Schizosaccharomyces pombe: one gene and its partner. The protein of the gene in region 2 interacts with the protein of the main gene of each other region in a pairwise test. Each region holds a gene or a part of one and is shown on either strand. Other genes may lie near its edges.

Region 1 (4,835 bases), on a different chromosome or scaffold from region 2:
CAAAAATGGAACCTGAGGAAATGACAGTGAAAGAAAAAAAATCTATCATCGAAATTCTCAAAGCCCGCATTGCTTTGAAAAAGGCTTTTCTAAAGATGGCATTATCTGAAAGCAATGATACCGTAGTTAAAAAAGAGGACGTAAGGGAAAGTCCTGTTGATACTTTTATGGAGAACGCAACCTGATGTTCGAGAGCATCAATTTAATCTCTATAAGGTACTTCTTCAACTCCAAAATATCGCGTCTACGTTGATGAAGTGAAAGCTATTCGAACTCAGCGTTTGTGATTCACTATCAATCTATTGAATATCTTAAAATATCTCGACGCTCTTAAAATTTGATACTCAGCCTTTAATTGACTAATTTGTAAGTTGCATAAAAATAATCCTTGTCGCCTTTTGGTAGTGCGTTCTCAATTAACACTTCTACAAACAGTAGGTTTGATAAAGAGTCCTCTTTAAACCTTACAATATAATTTACCATTGATACTTTTAAAAATAAATCAATAATTAAAATTACTAATGGATCTACACATTTTCTTTAAACACACATTTATCTTGTATCTCGTTTTGTATTAGCTATAATGCGATTATCTTTTGCGTCTCAGGTACCACATAGACACTGCTAAAATTACAATAGAACTAGAAACAATGCCAATGTAAATGGGTTTTTTGCTGTTTCCTTTATCAGCTTTTGCAGTGGGTTGATGAATATCGACAATGCTGTTTGCTACGCCTTTCTCTACAACGGAGGCAGATCCAATGCTGCTATCAACTGTAGAAATTGGTGGATGTGAGCTTTCCAAATGATTGGTAAAAGCAGCCACACCTCTCACTTCTAGACGTGGTAATCCTCTCCGGCGCGCTAAAAGAATAGCTTCGCGCAAGTCAGAATCACTAACTAATTCGACTACATCGCCCTCATCATCGATATAAGTTAAAGTGACAAGTTGTTCTTTTTCTCTTTCTTCCACTGCGGTACGAAGATCGCTTACCGAATTTATGCCATCAAGGCGTAAACGATGCACACGGCCTGCGATGGAACGGTACTTGATGGTAAATTGCGATGGACTTTGAGGATTTAACGGGAAAATTTGGGAAGCAGAGTCGGTGGGTTGAACAAGATCTTGTAGTGCTTGCTCCACAAAGGAAGGATTGCCGTGGTATTGAGGTAAGGATCCAACGTATGAAGGAGCTAATTGAGATGCACTGTTATACGGTTGTAGATATGGTGATGCTGCAAAACTATTTGAGCCATTTTCAGGTGTATCCATAGGCTTTTGACTAACACTTGGATGAAAAGATTGTTCTGACATTGCAGTAGGTGGATTGTTGGAGAAATTATAATCATTTTCAACGCCAACATATTCTTGGGGCTTGTTGTTAGAAGAGAGATTTTCGTTTTGCCAAGCTTGTACTGGTGGCTTGGGCAATTGTCTTGCAGAATATTCATAAGTGCTTTCGCTTTGTTGTGTATTTGATGGAAGAGGATTTAGAGGCAAGGGGGGATTTACATCATAATTTTCAACAACTTCATTTGAATTTCCTAATAGCTGCTGTTGTTGATCTTCAAAACCATTTGAAGGTTCAATACCGGCATCATTTTCTGCTTGATCGAAAACTTCTTCTTCTTCTTCTGGAGTTTGCTCGATTGCAGTTGCGAGATGGAATAAGGAAAGCATACCTATTATGGCATCACTTTCGTCAACGACAGGAAGGTTACTAAATTTACCTTCGATCATGCGCTCAAGAGCCGTGCTTACACGAAGGGAAGCCAAAGCACAATCTGGATGGGGAGTCATGACGCGTATGACAGAGCTGCGATATGGGTCAAGGCCAGCTGCTAGCACACGCAAAACTACGTCGTGAGCGGTAAATACACCAGATACGGCTCCATTGTCCATTACCAAAACAGCAGAAACGCCAGACCTAGCCATAGACTCGGTCGCTTCGGCAACAGTAGTGCGAGTACCTACAAGAAAGGGCTCTTCTGAAGAATCAATGAGAGACATAATTTCAAGCCCTGATGCTTTCTTTTTTAAGGATTCGACATATTCAAGAAACTCAGCAGCATGATTACCAGAGACTGAGGAAGAATTGGTATTACCAGATACCGATTTATTTTCTATTTCCTCTTGAGCACCTTCAAGGGCTTCCACTAATTTTTGTGCGGCTTCCTGTTGTCTAGCTATGCGATTGAGAGGTTCACGTAAACAAGCCCGCATGTTGATTATGCCGATTACATCGCCTTCGTCTCCAGCCGAACCATCAGGACCACCATCGCTGACTACAGGTAAATGTCGAAATTTGTGTTCAATCATTAATAGCAAAGCGTCATCAAAACGTGTATCACTGGTAATACACAAAGGACTTGTACTCATTATATCGGCGATCAATGTCTGCCTAGCATTCAGACCTGCACCGACACATCGGGTTGCTATATCCGTAGCTGTTACAATTCCTGCAAGTTGCTCATCGTCGTCCACAACGAGTACGCAATTTTGGCGTTTGGCTGCCATCAATTGCGCTGTTTCAGTAACCAGACTTTGCATGTGAACCGTCAATGCTGGATCTAAGGCAGCACTATCTACCGTTCCAGGCTCTCCATTTCTTCTTATCTTTCTAACTGGAGACTCAAAATTTCCTGACTTTTTACCCAATTCAGATATGATTTTCTTTCTCAGCGCCTCGTCCCTTTGATATTGGCGTTTCCGTGTATCTGATACGTGTGAAGCGGTATCAGACGCTGTTGATGACACTACCGAAAGTGTACCAACCGTCATATTCACCTTGTTTGAAGCTTAAAAGAAGGATATTATTGTTTACAGCTGCAAGCAAGAGAAAGAACTATATGTCAACGAGTACTAAACAAACCCTGTGTTTATTTACATTCGTTAACCCATTTTGCATGTTTATTCGTATTACTTAGTATTACGCTATTTTTTTACGAAATGCTAAGTAATGTCGAAGACGTTGAAAATGAAGGTAAATATTATATACGTACGATTCAACACCTTTTTTAAGTGTATATAATTAAGTTACATTGTTAAATGGGTACAAGTGAAAAAGAAAACAACGTGAAGTAATAATACCAACACATAAATTTAGCTCGCTTTCTGTGTTTCTTTTGGTGGATTGAAAAAAATCGACACCAGCAGGATTTGAACCTGCGCGCGGAGACCGCAACAGATTTCTAGTCTGTCCCTTTAACCACTCAGGCATAGTGTCTAAGTTGCTTTAACTCATTTTATCACCATATATAACCTGTATGTTGATTGTAAACTGTTTCTCATAAATAATCCCTAGTCTTTAATTACAGTTACAACAATACATTGAACTTTTGCAAAACATTAGGGTAAATCGTTTGTTTCTCAACAGATGTCCTTTGACACCGTTGAAACCCGCAAGACTGTAGTTTGCTCTATCAAACAACATATGCCATAATGGTACTATTGAAAATTCAATACACCTTGACTTTATTTATCATGTACCACCTCAATTATTGTAGCACTACGACTTTACTGCTCATTTTTTTCATTACTAGTTAAGGAACACTAAGTTTTAGCTGAGCAACTTTTGAATTCATTGTATCAAAATCAAACAAAGAACTAAATTTCCATCATCATGCGGTCTCATTTCGTAACTTTATTTATTTATTAATTTATTAGTTAGGATCATTGTCTTTCATCTTTTTAAAAAAGTTCATTTCCTAAATCCTGCTTTTCAAACCAGCTATGAGTAAATACATATAACGACGTTCTTTAATGACACAGCGACAACGCTTTCAAATAGACATTACCATAATCATCACGACCTGTCATACAAAAAAGGAACCTTAAAACCTCTCATCGTTACAAACCGGAAGGCTTATAAGTCCTTTACTTTTGCTTGTGCATGTTTGCCATGTGATTCAAAGCACTACCGGCCTTGAACCATTCAATTTGATCCTTGTTAAAGGTATGGTTAAGTTTGGTAGACCACTCAGCAGATCCATCAGCAGGGTGAACAACCAAAGTTAAAGGCTTACCGGGAGCAAAGGTAGTGAGACCATCGATATCGACGGTGTCGAAAGGAGAAATCTTGTCATAAGCTGCGGGATCGGCAAAAGTCAAAGGCAACAAACCTTGCTTTTTAAGATTGGTTTCGTGGATACGGGCAAAAGATTTGGTGATAACAGCGGCGCCTCCCAAATAACGAGGTTCGAGAGCAGCATGCTCACGAGAAGATCCTTCACCAAAATTTTGTTCACCCAAGGTAACCCAACGGATTCCATGATCACGATAATCAATAGCAACGTTGGGGACAGTCTTGTATTCACCGGTGAGTTGATCCTTCAACTTATTTGCTTCACCGTTTTCAGCATTAATAGCACCAATCATATAGTTATTAGAAATGTTTTGAAGATGTCCACGGTACTTCAACCAAGGACCAGCGGCAGAGATATGATCAGTAGTACACTTGCCCTTAGCCTTGATAAGGATTTTCAAACCCTTCATATCCTTTCCATCCCATTTCTTGAAGGGAGTAAGGCGTTGTAAACGCTTCGAATGAGGATCAATGGCGACATCCTTGACATTGACCGAGCTAGGTGCAACATAAGTGTTGCTTCCTGGGTCGTAACCCTTGGAAGGAAGACCAGCACCGGTAGGAGGTTCAAACTTAAAGTCGTTTCCATCCTTATCTTTCAAAGTATCAGTAAGAGGGTTAAAGTTCATGTCACCAGAGAAAACCATGGCAGTAACAATATCGGGGGAGGTTACAAAAGCATGAGTGGCAGGGTTAGCATCGTTACGACCAGTGAAGTTACGGTTGTAAGAGGTGACGATTGAGTTCTTC
Region 2 (5,143 bases):
GGTTGATAATGTGTAAACCCAAGAGTAGGAATGTCTTTGTATCGCAAAGACCACTGGCTAAGACGATTGATAACGTTGACTAACTTAGGGATCAAAAGATCCATGGCGCTGCGTAAGAAAATCAAGTCAGCATTATCGGTTACAAAACAGCTAGTAGCACCCAAATGAATAATACCAGAAGCAGCAGGAGCAGCAAGACCATATGTATAGATGTGAGCCATAACATCGTGTCTCTGACGCTTCTCTTCCTTAGCAGCGATTTCAAATTCTGGAGCTGTAATTTTGACATGCGCTTTAAGTTGCTCAATAGCTTCATCAGTAATTTGAGTTAAACCGAGTTGCTTTTCAGCAATGGCGAGATTCAACCACAATTGTCTCCAAGTATTAATACGCATTTCTCTTGAAAAGAGATGAGACATTTCAGCAGAAGCATATCTTGCTGTCAATGGTGTACTATATGAACCATAATCCTCCATATTCGATAATCTTAAGCTCGCCAAAAAATTTCTACCTGTTGTGGTGAATGGACAGTGAGGAACCAACACTAAGTAGTGCTCTACAAATGCTCCACCTTGAGAAGACCATCAGATTTATTATTTTGTAATTTCCATATTAATTAGTTAACGCGCATGAAAAATCAAACGATAATTTATTGTGCCTCCATGCTTCATATGTAGTATTCACCTAACCCACCAAGCAAATCAATTGAAGATCAAGTATAGAGGAGTAAAGGTGCCTTTCCACATATGTTAGCAATATTACAAAAGGGGTTATAAATTTACTTTAACCAATGCCTAAGTAAGAAAAAGACAGAGACCACTTCGTCAATTGAAACTTGTATTCTTAAACTAGTGAATATGAAATGTGAACTAGTAAGAGCAGAAAATTAATTTCTCTATAATGCCAAAATCTACTTCATCAGCAGATAACGAAAACCAAAATTATTTTGGATTATACTATTAAAATATCTTCACAGTGAAAAAGTAATAAACAAAAAACCATCAAGAAAAATAAATATTAAAAGTTGCAAACATCAACTATTAAATAAAGTGTGAAACAAAAAGAGAATTCTTGCTGTATTGGCATGGGTGTTTTTAAATTGGTCAAAGAAATATTCATGACAATCAACCCCAGATATTCTCAGATGCCAAGAATTAAGTGCTCATTTGTATAGGGTAATTAGATGTATTTTGATCGTTTTCGAGATAACCTTTCAGTAAATCAAAGGCTATATTTTATGGCCCATACAAAGGGCGCGCGACTTCAACTACAATTAAAACTCAAGCAATGGTGCAAGCACTTCCAACACGATACCACCAACTTTCTTGAAGTTGAGTTAACCAAATAAGAACCAAAACCAGTCGATCGGTCGGGTTGTCAACTTGCAAAATGCGAGTTTTCTCAAGCTCTGAGATAGGAAGAAGATTGGTGATTTTGTAAGACAAGTCAGCAATTGACTGTCTAGCCTCCATTTTTATATCGATTAAAGGTACAACCCAATGAACATATGTTCGGCGGGCATTCATGTAAAAAGCATCTATTCTTTCAACTAATTCTTCATTACTTAGATTACCATACATTAATAGATATTCAGGCTCAGGAAATTGGAGTGGAGTGGCTCTCAAAGGAGTATCATAGTGCTTTTCAATTTTCACTCTCGGAAACAAACCATCAGCTCGAAAATCGATTATACGAACACAATATGAACCACGGGCTTCTACAAGACTTCTCCCATCGATCAAAGGCTCGACTTGGATAATTTCTAAAATTGTACCATACTCAGAACAAAAAAGACGTTGACCACGAGCATTTCGAAGCTCTCGATGCTCATTATGACCATCACTTCGTGCTCTTAAAGGCATTGCAATACAAAATCGCTTAGAAGTCTCCAGACATTTTTTGATCATGATGTGGTATCGCAGTTCAAAAATATGAAGGAATGTCGGCATTCTGGGATATGCAAGCATGCTAATAAATAACGGAAGCCAACTTTCCTGTTCCTTTTCTTCTTCCCATGATTTTTGACGTTCTAACCAATTATCTGGGTAAAAATCTCGCAAAAATGTGGTAATAGAGTGGCTTTTCGCATGTTCCAACACAACAGGAGATGGGAGCCCAAAACGACAAGTCGGGCATTGAGGAGACTGGGTTAGTGCTTGCATAAGGCAAGGGCCACAAAATGTATGTCCACATGGAGAAACAACTGGGTCATAAAGCATGCCAAAACAAATTTGACATTCCAATTCTCGAGAAACATTCTCTTGTAATAGGTCCTCCATATGTAAAAATTCAGCTACTGCAGTCTCATAAGAAGATGAGGAAGGTATTAAGTTATGAAAAGTGGGAGGCAGCAGAGTAATTTCAGTCAATGCAGAAGTACAAGGTGGTGACGAAGAAAGACAATCGTCATGACAAATTTCCTCCTTTAATTCCAGCGGTACCAAACTCTGCTGAGAAATTTGAAACTCTGTAGTTTTAATCAATTCAACCACTTTGGAAATGATCACATCTTTCACTTCGGTCTCTACAGAATAATGCGGTTTCTTATGGTTGTAAAAGCAACATCTTGAGGGACTAACTTTTCCAGAGCTTTCCGAAGAATATGCGTTTCGAAAGCATTTCCGACAGACTGTTCCTCCACAAGGAAGTGTGACAGGCCAGTCAGGCAAACAATTACAGCCCGGACAAATAAAGTAAGACCTTATTTTATTAAATAATACTCCTGGCCTTTCTTTTCTCATTTTTAATCGCTCGTAAAACTAATTCAGATGTCGATTGCTAATGTCAAGTAATTTTACACTCGTTAATTCCATGGATGACTCCAGAGAATACTAGAAACTTAAAAATATTGTTTTTTTTTTTTTAAGAAAGAATATGAACCTTCTTCAATTATTTCAGTCGAAAAAGGAAAACCTCATTAATTCATGAAATTACTGATGACATATCTTCATCACGCACAAACACTTGCTGTAGCTATCTATAAAATAAAGACTTATTAACAATTCTTAAAAGGATTTATTCCTTTAATTTATGTTAATAAAGCAATTCACAACAGAAAGACAAAGTGATGCTGTGTTGTAAACGGATGACAGCATAAATATGGTGACATTATATATATATATACATAATATAACGTTACATCCGTGTGAATTGCTAACATGATGATGGAAAAGTAAAAAAGACGAATATTGCAATTAAAAAGCTTTAATAATTAAAATAAATTAATAACTTTAATTGATAAAAGTACAGGAAGTAATTACCAGTTTATTATGGTGAAACGGCAAACAATTGTATACCGATATATTACATACTGATCGACATGTGACTCTTACTTTCAGTACAAATTTAAGATGATGGTCAATTAAGAAGATAGGCGTTCATATATTTCATTACAAATAATCATAAAAAAAACAGATTCATGAAGAAAAACCAAGCAAGGTGCTAATCAACCTGAAAGACAAGGCAATCTCAATGGCACGTTTATAAAAGGGTACCGGAATTCTCTAACCTTAGTAGGTCAAGCCTGAATGAAGTAAAACACCTAGGGGTAGAATATGCAGAATAGGAAGAAAAGCATGAAAGCAAATATTCAAACATTGTATTGAAAAAGAAACCCAACCAAATCTAGGACCAATAAATTATGATACATATGTTTTCAATGATTCTTGTACGGAATTCCAGATTCGCAAGTTCCGGTTGGCCCAATCTATATGACTATCGGTCAAACGGTTTAAAATTCTGTTTAAATCCTGACGATGCGTGTCTTGGTAGCGCTGGAACTCAAAGTTTACTCTGTCAGTTACAAATGCGACATCCTTAGTGGTAATCAAGAGCATGTCCGTAAGATGGGTAACGCTTTCTGCGGTCCTACCGATGTTGTTGTGTCGCGATACTTCCACATTATTATCAGTTAGACCATTCAATACAAAACGTATTCTATCAAATACATCACGAATCGTGCGCGGTAAAACAGTAACTGACGTCAAAGAGGTATCTTGTGATACTGTTTCAAAATCTTGACTTTGATTGTGCCGTAAATCCCGCAAACACTCTTCCGTTTGCTCTCCATTTCCATCATGATAGTTTTCCAAGGGCTGATCGGTTCCCATCAAGGGAACCGACGGCTCTTTTGATTCTTCATCATTAAATAGGGGATCTTCTTCGGGAATAGTTGAACGAGAAGTTTGAGCGTTATTTACACCCAAAGTAGCTTCCGATTCCCTATTGAGTATTACGTCCCCATCTACCTCACCAATAGCCTGTTGTAGACGAGCAGCATGTCTCTCCCTGCGCTCCAAAAGATGAAGAAAGCTCTTTTTTCTTGTGAGAAGCTCTTCGACCATTACCTGTTGAATAAACTTCATCTTTCTAAAGATAAAAATGTGACGCATATTTTTGGCGTCTTTTGAAAGCTCCTGAAGCGGTTCTATTACCGCGATTACAAAGTTGTGCATAAAGTCAATACTAGCAAGACATGTGTGATCATTTGCTTGTCCAACCTTTTCCAGTGCTGTCAAAAGCTTTCCCGACTCGGATAACGAAAGAGCGTTAAACATTGCCCCCAAAGTAGAGTGTGCGAGGCAATACTTAGAGTTTGATAAAACAATTTGATTAAATAAATTGGATTCCTCTTGTGCTACTATTGAATACTGCTGTAGCGTATCTTCAAGCATAAGAAAATTTTTCCCAACATCGTCATAATTGTCACGAGGTACAAGGGTTTTAGAGGGAATAGGCAGCTCCTTGTATAACTCAGCATTCTCTTTAGAAGAAGGATCAGCTGGTGGGGCTTTCAATAAATCCTTTGGGAGACAACTAATAGGAGGACTATGCAATACTTCCTTCCAAGATACATGTCGACTAAGAAATTTTCGAAAAACTTCTGAAAGGCCCAGAATAGGGTGTTGTGCTACCCTTCTCAAAAATAATTGTAATAATCTCTTTCTTTCTTCGAGCATACGAGACATTCGTTGGTTTTTGGTGACGTTTATCAAGTAATCCATGATTTTATGTTTATCAGGTAATGGAGGAACCAAGCAAGTAGGATACAGGCGGCTAAGTTGTACGCGCAAAGAAGCAAATTCTGAATATCGATGGTGTATTTCTGAGTCCTAAAAACCGTTAGTAATCAAACATTTCAATA

The links.
Region 1: the proteins of SPOM_SPBC14F5.10C (region 2) and mug70 interact in a two-hybrid assay, tested with the Schizosaccharomyces pombe proteins (one large-scale study listed by BioGRID).

Annotation. Positions count from the first base shown.
Region 1 is NC_003424.3:3,044,532-3,049,366, forward strand, and holds mug70 (protein mug70), read right to left. Parts: upstream 2,856-4,835; 5' UTR 2,783-2,855; coding exon 590-2,782; 3' UTR 533-589; downstream 1-532. Other genes in the region: protein Med9, read left to right, coding at 1-185; aco1 (aconitate hydratase), read right to left, coding at 3,878-4,835. UniProt on the Schizosaccharomyces pombe protein: Has a role in meiosis.
Region 2 is NC_003423.3:4,174,972-4,180,114, forward strand, and holds SPOM_SPBC14F5.10C (ubiquitin-protein ligase E3), read right to left. Parts: upstream 3,088-5,143; 5' UTR 2,742-3,087; coding exon 1,281-2,741; 3' UTR 501-1,280; downstream 1-500. Other genes in the region: adenylosuccinate lyase Ade8, read right to left, coding at 1-476; sorting nexin Snx41, read right to left, coding at 3,639-5,111.